3 linked regions of the Oryctolagus cuniculus genome follow. The protein of the gene in region 2 purifies or fractionates together with the protein of the main gene of each other region. This does not show direct contact. Links are inferred from orthologs where the notes say so. Each region holds a gene or a part of one and is shown on either strand. Other genes may lie near its edges. The genes, in order: PPIE, CRNKL1 and CCDC12.

Region 1 (3,586 bases), on a different chromosome or scaffold from region 2:
TGATGAAAAAAATCCTGAAAATAGGTAGCAGTGATTATGGTACAACATAGTAATTAACATATACTTAAAATAATTAAAATATCCAAAAATAATTTTTAAAAGGGGGTAGTGGTGAGACCATAACAAAAACATTTTTGAAAGCTAGAAAACAAATAAATGATAAAGCAGATCTAAAAAAGCTGATTTTAAGATTGCAAAAACCAAGAAGCAACTGAATTTACATTCCAAAAGCTCAATACAAGGGAGAAGGTAATTCTAAGAAGAGTAGGCCTGGCTGAAGTCCTGTTCAAGGAGTGGCTAACCCTAGATCTTCCTCTTCTTGACCCTGCAGCGAGGGCTGCCTCTGCCGGTGGATCTACTCTCTGGTGAGGAAAAGCAGATGGCTGAGGGCTGAGGCACCATCATGACAAAGGGAGACAAGGTAGAAGGTTAGGTACTGAACATGGAGGCATTCAGCCCTGCCCTCACAAGCTGGCAGACAGCTGTATGTAGAAAACCCAGCAGGAGGACTTGGGAGAGAATCAGGAGTAAATACACAGGTGATAATTCCAGGCAAAACAGAATGCTGTGCATGGAATACGTTTATCATATGCTTACATAGGTAAAATAAACAACGACCTAACCACAGTCATGGAACCTATACGAGGCAATAGATTTTCTTTTCTTTTCTTTTTTTAATGACTTTTCTTTTCTCTAAGATCTATTTATTTATTTATTTGAGTGGTGGAGTTACAGTCAGTGAGAGGGAGAGACCGAGAGAAATGTCTTCCTTCTGTTAGTTCACTCCCCAGATGACTGCAATGGCCAGAGCTGTGCTGATCCGAAGCCAGGAGCCAGGTGCTTCTTCCTGGTCTCCCATGTGGGTGCAGGGATCCAAGGACTTGGGCCATCTTCTACTGCTTTCCCAGGCCATAGCAGAGAGCTGGATTGGAAGAGGAGCAGCCAGGACTAGAACCAGTGCCCATATGGCATGCTGGCACCGCAGGCAGAGGATTAACCCACTGCGCCATGACGCCGGCCCCATTAGATTTTCAAAAGCTAATAATTCCTTCTATTCAAGTAGGAAGTCAAAAGATAATATCTAGGAGCTGGCACTGTGGCGTAGCAGGTAAGGCCACTGTGTGCAGTGCTGGTATCCCATATGGGCACTGGTTCAAGTCCCGGCTGCTTCACTTCCAGTCCAGCTCTCTGCTGTGGCCTGGGAAGGCAGTGGAAGATGGCCCAAGTCCTTGAACCCCTGCACCCATGTGGGAGACCTGGAGGAAGCTCCTGACTCCTGGCTTCAGATCAGCCCTATTCCAGCCCTTGCAGCCACTTGGGGAGTGAACCAGCAGATGGAAGACCTTTCTCTCTCTGCCTCTGCTTCTCTGTAACTCCTCCTTTCAGTAACATAAATAAATCTTAAAAAAATAATGTCTAAAATGGAAAAACCAGGAAGTAGAAACCTACAACTTCAGGAAGCAAAAACCAAAGGAACTGGCCAAGAGTTGAAATGAACTGCCTGTAAGGAGCAGCAAATGGTGCTGGCAGTGGAGTGAGGTGCAGCACAGCACCAGGGGACTACCAGTTTTACAAATTGGCTTTGTGAAATTGACTCGGGCATTTGACATAGCATTAATACAGCTTGGGACAACTGTATCCCTTATTGTAGTGCCTGGGTTTGAGAACTGACTACACTCTCTATTCCAGCTTCCTGCTAATGCACGTCAGAGGGGGTAGCAGGTGATGGTGAGTTACTGGCTCCTAGCTTTGGCCTGGTCCAGCCTTAGTTATAGCAGGCATTTGGGGAGTGAACCAGAGGATGAGAGATCTGTCTCTGGCTTTAAAATAAATAATAAAAATTTATAATAAAAAGTCAATATTTAACAAACTAGAAGAGACAATCAAGAAACTGTCTGCAGGCCTAGAGTGTGGCACAGCAGGTTAAGCCGCTGCTTATGATGCTGGCATCCCATATTGGAGTGCCAGTTTGAGTCCTGGTTATTCTGCTCCCAAGCCACCTTCCTGCTAACGTGCCTGAGAGTATGGCACAAGTACTTAGGACCCTGCCACCGACACGGGAGACCAGGATGGGATTCCCGGTTCCAGGCTTTGGCTTGGCCTGAAGCTCTGGGTGTTGTGGGCTTTTGGGGGAGGGGGGTGAGCCAGTGGATAAAAATTGTCTGTCTCTCTCTCTCTAATAATGCAAGAGAAAAAAAAAGGTAATCTACCACTTAAGACAATCTCAAAAATACCTGCTCTGACTCTGTTACTAGATTCCAGGAAATGAGATACCTCAAACTGATTCAGGTTTAAAAAACAACAACAACAACAACAAAATCGTCAAGGGTACCAAAAGTGAGGCAGAAGTCTGTCACTGGTCGCCTACAGCTTCCTGCTGGCCTAGACAGAGGCCTACCCACCTGCTGTCATGGGTACAACATCTGAACGCAGGAGCATCTGGATGCGGCCAGCTGGTTTATTCCCAATCTTGATGTCCATGTACACCTGAGGATTTGACCGGGCCTTTTTCGCAGTGGGCTCTCCCTGGGTACCGAAGAAAAGTGCTGGTTAGAGAGAATGCCTGACTTCCCAAACACAAGCACAGACAACGCCCTGCACACAAACACCCAGAACACAACGCCAGCAAGCAGGCTGGAGCAAGGTGCTGACAGGAAAGGTCTTGGACCTGACACTGCTACAGGAGGCACGAGCCATGGCCACAGCACCCAGCTGGACATGCAGTTGTCGCTCCCCCTCTTCATGGAGGAACGACACAGGACCCTGCACTGTTCTTTCATCTGCTCGGCCCTCCCCGGGTTCGCCGCCGGCTCCTCCCGGGTTGGCTACTATCCCTTCCACCTCCGTGGAAGGGCAGTTCCCCCTGGCCGCATTCCCCACTTCCGCAGGGGAGCGGCACACCGCCGGCCGGTTCTCTCGGGGGCTGCACGGGTTCCCTTAGATGTTCCCCATAGATGTTCCCGGTGCATGCCGTCTCTCTCCTCCTTTGTAGTCCTCCTCCGCCAATCCCAACTCGGCTGCCCACACGCCGAGTACGCTGCTCTCCAATCAGGAGCAAGTCCTACAGTTAATTGGTTGAACTGGAGGCAGCTGTGCGGAAGCTGTTTACTTCTCTCCCAGCGCCATATTGTGGGAGAGCAGATGCATAGAATAAGTCTTAATTCCAGTAACTCAGTCCAGTCCGGATTGCTCCCCACATGCAGTGACAGGAGACCTCAGCACTACCTCACTCGACCCCAGTTCCAGGCACGCTGTCTCATCATCCTGCGTCCCCCTGCCCTGCAGTCACAGAACAGCACACTCTTCTGGCCCCCACTGCACAACTCTCACCAACTTCCAACACTGGTTCAAGCCCAGCCACCGTACTCCAGTTAAGCAGACCCATTCATGTACCAGCCCCTCTGCCCTCTACAGTGAGCCCTGAAGAGTCACAAACTGGCCACGTGGACGCAGAGGAGGAGCCCAGTCTTCAGTGGAGGAGGAGGCGGGTCAGGAATGGTGGAAACGAGCACCCAATCTTCCTCCTTGTCATTGGTAATCACAAATCTGTACCACACAGAGCTGAGCAGCGCACCACACAGAACAC
Region 2 (4,015 bases):
GGCTGGGTCAGGCCAAAGCCAGAAGTCAGGAGCTTCATCCTTGTCTCCCCTGTGGCTGGCAGGTGGCCCAAGCACTTGGGCCATCTTCAGCTGCCTTCCCAGGAGCATTAGCAGGGAGCTGGATCAGAAGTGGAGCAGCTGGGACTCAAACCAGCACCCATACGGGATGCTGGTGCTACAGGAGGTGGCTTCACCCACTGTGCAGAAGTACACTTTTTTACTTCTGATTTAACTTTAACGGTTAACTTACAATTTCTTTGTGTTATATTCTAAGCAATTTTACCTTTGAATCTCCTTCAGACTCTCCTCCCATTGTGCGTATTTTATCCAGTTGCTAATTACAGTCCTGTTTTTCCTTATGTTATCTTCAAAAGTCTGGAAGGCAGCAAAAAGGGTTGAATTAAATGGGAAAATGGCATCACCTTTTGTCTACTATAAGCCTTGTACTAAAAACACTATTATTTTGTTCTCTTTTAAAAGAGAAATGACATACTGGAATCCTTGACGAATCAGACACCAGAAGTTACAACTACTGATGTTTTTTCAAACTCTTACATCCAAACAAAACTTTGGCTAAGAAGAACTGCAGGCAGACTTGCTGGTGTTTCCTCCCGTTGCTCAAGACACACTTTATATTTGCTTCCAATAAGGCAATGCTTTTGCAAAGTAACTTTACGTCCTCTTGGTAACTCTGATTTCACCCATAGCTCACTAGATGGGACATGATGAGAGGTCTAAAATAATCTCACATTCCCGAGTGAGGAGGTCAGATCAGACCCAACATCGTCTCACGACTCTGTGCTAGGTCTTACCCACAGAAGTACGGCAGCCAGCCATGCAAAGGACACGCCTCTCCCACCTGTGCGTCTTCCACCTGCTAACCTTTCCGCCATCTTTGATTCAGCACCAGAAATTACGTCTCTGGCAGGCTTAACTGCTTTGTATTTTAGGTTAACAACTCAGTTTATTTTTATATAGTTCAGCAAAAGCAGTTAGTTCACCAGAGAGCTAGGAACATTAACCTCGTCTTAACCATACAGACTCTCACCGATCAGGAACTTTTCAAACTCTGCCCTTTAATTCTAAACAACTAAAGAGACAGAGAGAAATCAGACTTACCTTCCTTTTCCTTAGCTTGTAATCGTTTAATTCTTCTTCATCTGTGATCTTCTGCTGAGGTGGAGGTGGAAGCAGCTCAAGTTCTCTTTCTTTCGCTTCTCTCAAGAGTTGTTCAGCAGTTATTTGTACTTCAGCGGGAGCTTTGTTTTTGACCTTTTTCATAAAAAAGAAAAAAGAAAATTTAGACATTTCTATTTGGGTAGACACTCTTCAGATAGGGTTTAAGAAACAAACACACGGTTTTCAGAACGCAGACTCTAAGATGCCCCCTCTGGATGACAAGTGTCCATTTCTCAACACTGAAGAAAATGTTTTCCATTTCACACGCAGTACCCATTACAAGTCAGTAGGTCAAAGTCTCACGAGAAAAAACATGGAAAAAGCAATAGTGACTTTTCCTTTTTAAATGAGTAAAATGGTAAACTTTGAGGCTTGCTAGGTAAAATTCTCACCAGAGATTTTAAGATGTATTCATATAACATCACAACTTTTTTTTTTTTTTAACAATTTTTAAAAAAATTTATCTAAGGGGGCAGGTGCTGTGGCATAGTGGGTATAGCCGCTGCCTGCAGTGTTGGCATCACGGGCACTGGTTTAAGACCCGGCTGCTGCTCTTACAATCCAGCTCTGTGCTATGGCCTGGGAAAGCAGTGGAAGATGGCCCAAATCCTTGGGCCCCTTCACTCACATGGGAGACCCAGAAGAAGCTCCTGGCTCCTGGCTTCGATTGGCACAGTTCTGGCAGTTGAGGCCAACTGGGGAGTGAACCAGCGGATGGAAGACCTCTCTCTCTGTCCCTGCCTCTCTATAACTCTGCCTTTCAAATAAATCTTTAAAAAAAGTTAACATCACCTGTTTACTGTTACCTTCTAACGCGATTAAGAGAAAATTTTAAGTTACAAACAGGCTTCCTTTATTGCTATTGGGCCAGTGGCACTCAATAACAATGTATGGAATGGAATTTTAAGAAACTTTTTTTTTTTTTTTAAATTTACTTATTTGAAAGGCAGAGAGAGAAAGAGAGCTGCCATCTGCTGGTTCACTCCCCAAATGTCCACAGCGGCCGGGGCTGGGCCAGGCTGAAGCCAGCAGCTCCCTCCGGGTCTCCTGCACTGCTGCAGGGGCCCGAGCACTTGAGCCATCCTCCACTGCTCTCCCAGACGCATCGGCAGGGATTTGGATCGGAACTGGAGCAGCCGCGACTCGAACCGGCGGCCACACGGGATGCCGGCGGCTTCACCCTCTACACCACAGCGCCGGCCCCCAGCAGCAGGAGTCAATGCGTCCTGGGACGCACAGACAGCACCCACGACACGAGCACTCAGGGCAAACACCTGACACGCATTACTGGCTGCGTGAACGGAAGAGGTCAAGTTCAAGGGGCTGGAAAAAGGACACCCGCGAAGACTCAGGCCGGGGCCCGCCGCTGATGGACTCCGGCTGGTCAGTCTACCCCCCTTGCCCGCGCCCTCCCGGGGCCGGCGCGACCAGCGCCCCACACAGACCGCCCTACTGCAGCCCGCGGCCGGCTGTGCCTCGCCGCGGGCACACACACAGAGCAGCACTGCCGCTTACCTTGGCCACTTTAGGAATTCGCTGCTTCCCAGCCGCGGTGGACGCCGCCATGTCTGCAGCAACGGACCTCGGGAGACCAGCTCCCCTCGCCGACAACAGAAACGGCTCCCCGAGGCTCGCCTACACCACAAAAGCTTCCCCACCGACCGACGGATTCCCGGAACCGGAAGCGGAACTCCCGAGGACGACCTTTGACCTCGCGCATGCGCCATGACCACGGTAGAGCCGTTGCCGTGGTAACTAGACAGCGCGTCCTCCTCGGAGCTGGAAGCAGAGCTCAGCGTCCTGGAGTTGGGGTTGAGGTGGGTACGCGGGGACTGGATCCAGGGTGTCAAAGGCTCACTCCCAGATCAGCTTCTGGGACTGGGATGATCCTAGGAGAACGGGTTCGTGTGTTCAGCCGAGGCGCCTGGATAGGGAATTGGAGCCAACCTCTGCTCTAGACGCTGCAGGGCCGGGGACGTCAGGAACGGAGGGGAAACTACCATTCCCGGCGTGCCCAGGGGGAGCCTGCGCCGCGTTGCATTCTGGGCTTTATAGTCTCCGACGTCCGTGCCCACAGCTTCCAGTTCTCGGCCAATAGTGCGCCGCTAATTAAACTCTGGAGCCTGGAATCCCGGGTCTTTTCCAAGGCAGGTGTTAGGAAAAAGTGAGAACACATGAGCAGAATAACTAGTGAACTACCCCGCCTTGCGGTAAGAAACGTGTTTAACATTTTCAGGTGTGCCCCGGTCACCGAAATTCTCAGGCCAGGGGCCTCGGCTGCGCAGCGGGGCTCGTAGCTTCGCCCGGTTTCCCCAAGATGGAAGGGAAACACAGCTGTGAGGTTCTCAGTGATAGCCCTCGACCTTTCCTCAGGGGCAGGGAAGTGAGGCCAGCGGTGCCGAGGAGGTTGGGAAGGGACTCCTGGCCTCGCAGCAAAGTTGAGCAGAGGGAAAGCGACTCGCCCAGCCGGCCCGCGGCGCCTCTCCCGAGTCCGCAGTTTGGGGCTCTCTCCTGGCGTGGTGCGCCCTGTAGGGTCAGGCAGCGGCGTGCTGACGCGAATCCAACCGTGGTATCGCCCAGCTCCCCCTCACACCCTCAGATCCCACCCCTGTTCATCCCTTTCTCCCCCAAACTCCAGGAAACTTCTGATTAAAAAAAATTTTTTTTTGCATTTTCTAGAATATCGAGCAGTTGGATAATATGTAGATTTGTCAGATTGTCGTCTTTTTAAAGATTTTATTTGAGAGGTAGAGCTACAGAGAAGGAGAGGGAGAGAGGTATTCCATCGCTGGTTCGCTCCCCAAATGGCCACAAAGTCCGGACTGGGCTGATCCAA
Region 3 (4,090 bases), on a different chromosome or scaffold from region 2:
CCCCCTTCCGGCCCCTGAACGTTGACTGCTTGAGCTGCGGCCCTCATTTCGCATTTCTCACCTTACGCCCGGTTTTCTCCCGCAGGGCCCTCAGCCTCTCCTTCCGCCGCAGAGCCTCCTCCTCCAGCCGGCCCACACCGGCCGCAGCCGCCGCCATGTTGCCTACCGACCCCCTCCTTTTCTGTCGTGATGTGTCGCGCTGACCTAAGGAAAGTAGATGAGTGTCTCGCGGCCAATCCGAGGGCGAGAATAAGGGAGCCGGAAGTGTGGCAGGCCAATCAATGCTTAGTTGCTACGGGAGGGCCCGCCCCGCTCCCGCCGCGCCCCCGCCGCGCCCCCGCCCTTTTCCTCACAAGCAGCTCGGCTAGCCCACGGGGTACCGGCCAGGGGAGAAAGAAGATGCTAAGGCTCAAGTGTCCAACTCTAATCAGTGAGAAAACAGCAAATCGACTCAGACCTGAGGGGCGGAGCCTAGCGTGCGTCGATCTCTTGGGTTTTGCCTGAGCACTTAATCACGGCTCACCTCATGCCGGCCTCTTGGAGTGCCCTGACCCATCCTTGTGCACTTGTCCTGAATCTTCAGGGCTCCAGTGCCTTCCAGAAGCTTTCCTTGACTCCACTCCGATCCCACCCTAACCTGAGGTCAGTCTCTTCCCTCCTCTGCTGCTGTCAGTGGCTCCTCGGACTCGCCTCACCAAGTACCCTAAGCCCGTCTGTGGCCATCACTGTCGCTCGAAGCCTGCAGCGTGGACGGCGGTTTCCCTCCGGGGTTCACAGATGATACCCTGTCACCCCCACCGCCTCCTGGAGAGGCAGAGTACCCGGGGCAGGCTGCCTTCCCTGGGAAGAGCAAACTGCAACAAGACCCAGTTAGCCCCAAGGAGCCACCTCAACCCCCACCCCCACCCCCAGCTTAGGGAAAGTCGGTTGGGCCTCGACTGGAGCAAGTGCATGGCCACAGGTGTCTGGCTCCCCGGCGTCTTCTCTCTACATTAGTCAGTGCGGCCTGATAACAGACCACATCAGCTGTGGTCAAGAACTGTGAGCCCGGCAGGGTCCTCAGAGCCACACCCACAGGGGACGACTAGCCTCTGAGCAAATCTGCGGCCTCCCTTATCAGGCCGGCTGCAAGCAGTTGTTCGGGCCTCCCATCCCAAGTCCCATGGCCCACAGACCCCCGTCTTGACTTCATGAACCTGCATCTGTCTAGGCCCTGTCTCCTGCCATGGGGGCAGTGCTCTGCCAAGGCCTGGCACACAGCTTGTGGCCGCTTAGGGACTGTCAGCTCAGAGCCGGGATGCGCCAAAGGCCAGGCCGAAGGAGCCACCCGAGAGGCCAGGAGAGGAGACAGGGTCTGTCTTCTCTCGGCCACCCAAGATCTAACGGACCGTAGGTCTGCCAATTCCTAGGACTAATGGCCGAGAAACTTCCATCCGCCCTCCCTCAACAAAGAACCTGACTCCCGCTCAACACCGGGGGCCTCCTCACTTCACAGGCAGCCTGGGCCCAAGCAAAGAGTCAGTCAGGCCTGTGTCCCCATCCCAGCTGCCTCTGGCGGCCAACCTGGTCGTCTTTCGGCCTGTCTCAGTATCTCTACGGACACGGAGGCACGAGGCACCCCCCCCCATGAGGTTAACAAAAGAAGTCAGGCAAGGGCTGGGCCCTGGCGTGGGGGTGGGGGTGGGGGGGCACCTCCAGGAGGAGGGGACCTTGCCCTCTGTCCTTGGACAGAGCCCCCCAGAGGCATTCCCGGCTTATCCTGCCGCTTTTCTCTGCTCTTCCTCATCCGCTCTGCAAACAGCAGGAGCTCAGAAGCAGCCTTAGAAGAACGCCTGGCACGCGTGGTAAGCAGCCAGCGATTCTCACGAGGGAGGTTATTATGGGCCCCAGACCCTGTCCCCAGCCCTGTCGCCGAATGCCGGTAACCTCAGCTCTCTGGTACAGGCAGATCCGACCCCATGTCCCAGGGTCTCCGAAACGCCTCTCCACAGCCACTCGTGGGGGCGCGGCCCGCGGGGAGAGGGGGGCGGGGCGCCCTCGCGTCCCCTCCCGGATCTCAGGCTCCTCCTCCCGCTGGGCTCCCCGCCCTTTTCACGGTCCCAGGAGAGGCGGGGCGGCGGTGGCGGCCGCGGCGGCGAAGTGCAGGAAGCCGAGCGGGGGGCGGGGGGGAGGAGGAGGAGGGTGTCGGCTTGGGTGGCTCAGTGCGGCGCGGACTAGAGCCGTGAACTTCCCCAGCAGGACCGCGCTGCTCCTCCCCGGAGTGACGCCCTCCGCCCATGGGCCTGGCCGGGGGCAACCGGCGGGCGGCGCGGAGGAGGCGGCGACAGGTGGCGCGCAGCTGGGCCGGAGCCGGGTCAGGCCATGGCCGCCTCCGAGCGGCTCTACGAGTTGTGGCTGCTCTACTATGCGCAGGTGAGCCAGCCCCGCGCAGCGCTCGCTGTGCCCCCAAAGCTCCGCGCGGCCCGCGCCTGCTGCACCTGCGCCCCGCGCTGCCGGGGCTGCGCCTATGAAAGCTGGGTGTGCTCCGGCTCCGCACACACACGTGCGTGTCCCCTGCCGGCCGCTCTGGCGCTTAAACTGGGCGGGGGGGGGGGAGGGGGGCGCGGTGCGCAGTACTCACAGGTGTGCACTTTTACAGCAACGGCTACAGCAAGACCGCACATCCTGAGTCTTGCAGGGAGAGGGGCATCGCTGAGGCATTTACAGAGGGGGAAACTGAGGCTTGGAGCCAAAAGAGCCGTCTGAATTGAAGGGGGGGGGTGGAGTACTCAGTTTGCCTGTGGGCTGCTCCTGCTGTGGACACAGCCGGTTGAGGGGTGGTGGCCATCGGGCCAACTGGGCTGGAGGTCTGAGCAGGCACAGGTCTGACCTGAGTCACGAGTCCCCAGAGAACTGGTGGTCATAGGCTCCTCCTGGAGTGGAGGTAGCCCCACCCCTCTCCCATTCTGGGGTGGGGCGTGCTGGGGGGGTTGAGGCAGGAGAGATGTCTGAGAGGGATGGAGGGAGGCCATTGCCTCTGGGCTCCCTAGCTCGCTCTCAGAGACTACTTCAGGAGGCCTCAGAAGCAGAGGGGAGTGGCCCTGACCCTGGCGTCCCTTGAGCTCTGTCCCCACACATAGGCCCCCACTTTCCCTCGGCAGCCACGCCTCCCTCCCTGCACCTGCCTGGCATCGTGCTGCTGGCTCAGGTGTGCCCTGGGCACAATGGGCCATTGTGTGCCCCTGAGCAGCTTCTCACCGAGAGGAAGTTAACGTTCAGCCCAGCTGGCCCTCCTGAAGAGGCTGCCCAACGGTCTCTGAGGCACCTGTGGCTCAGGCCATGGGAGCCACAGCCTCTTTGGTTGGCCCAGGTCGTGGGCTGCCCAGACCCCCAGCAGGAGGCAGGCCTGGTGTAGCAGAGTCCCTCTTCGGGGAGACCCACATCAAGCTCTTTGCAGTTCTGAGCCCCTACTTCCCTGACTGTGAAATTGACACAGTCTTGATCTGAACAAAGTGGGTAACACTTGGACTTGCCGCTGCGGCCAACTCAGGCCAGAGAAGGCTCCTGCTTGCCTGTTCCCATTGAGTCCTCTAATCTGGAAAGAACAAAAGGTCTAGAGGGAGGCTACTCCTGCCCTCATACCTCTGATTGCCTGTGGCTGTGGCATGTTCTTGGCTTAAGCCACGTGATGAGTCTGAGGGATGTTCCTGGTAGGTCTTCAGGCTGGGGAGTAGGCTGTTGGGGTTGTCTGGGTACAGTCTCCCAGCACACCCCCCAGGACCATGGCCTCCCGATGCCCCCCGGAGCACCCCATCCTCTCTAGGTGTTCAGCATTCATGTGTGCTGAGGCTGCCTTCCCCTGCCTGCACACCTCCCAGGACAGGTATGGGGGCACAGGCTGGAAGCCTGGGCAGGCAGGGGGCAGCCCGGGGCCAGGCAAACAAATCCAGGATGTAAGAGCAAACTCGGGATCCGGGCGGGGCCAGGCCGCCCGGGGAGAGGAAGCGCTGGTCAGCCTCCCCACGCTGCCTTCCTGCCCGCCTGGAACAGAACAGCTTCCCCACCCCTGTGTGCTGTACTCCCAGGGAGGGTAGCACCAGGCAACTTTGAA

Evidence for each region.
Region 1: the proteins of CRNKL1 (region 2) and PPIE purify together in Homo sapiens (affinity purification with mass spectrometry; 3 studies listed by BioGRID and IntAct, counting the BioPlex papers as one, with this or other methods). This does not show direct contact. The link is inferred for Oryctolagus cuniculus from reciprocal best matches to the Homo sapiens genes CRNKL1 and PPIE.
Region 3: the proteins of CRNKL1 (region 2) and CCDC12 purify together in Homo sapiens (co-immunoprecipitation; 3 studies listed by BioGRID and IntAct, with this or other methods). This does not show direct contact. The link is inferred for Oryctolagus cuniculus from reciprocal best matches to the Homo sapiens genes CRNKL1 and CCDC12.

Annotation. Positions count from the first base shown.
Region 1 is NC_091438.1:133,125,588-133,129,173, forward strand, and holds part of PPIE (peptidyl-prolyl cis-trans isomerase E), read right to left. Parts: intron 2,527-3,586; coding exon 2,403-2,526; intron 1-2,402. UniProt on the Homo sapiens protein: Involved in pre-mRNA splicing as component of the spliceosome. Combines RNA-binding and PPIase activities.
Region 2 is NC_091442.1:44,670,183-44,674,197, forward strand, and holds the start of CRNKL1 (crooked neck-like protein 1), read right to left. Parts: upstream 2,864-4,015; 5' UTR 2,746-2,863; coding exon 2,695-2,745; intron 1,273-2,694; coding exon 1,120-1,272; intron 376-1,119; coding exon 284-375; intron 1-283. UniProt on the Homo sapiens protein: Involved in pre-mRNA splicing process. As a component of the minor spliceosome, involved in the splicing of U12-type introns in pre-mRNAs.
Region 3 is NC_091441.1:101,793,044-101,797,133, reverse strand, and holds the start of CCDC12 (coiled-coil domain-containing protein 12), read right to left. Parts: upstream 2,833-4,090; 5' UTR 2,664-2,832; coding exon 2,621-2,663; intron 2,413-2,620; coding exon of another isoform or gene 2,236-2,412; intron 2,008-2,235; exon of another isoform or gene 1,927-2,007; intron 1,845-1,926; coding exon of another isoform or gene 1,802-1,844; intron 643-1,801; coding exon of another isoform or gene 527-642; exon of another isoform or gene 328-526; intron 205-327; coding exon 62-204; intron 1-61. Other genes in the region: NBEAL2 (neurobeachin-like protein 2), read left to right, coding at 527-642, 1,802-1,844, 2,236-2,412.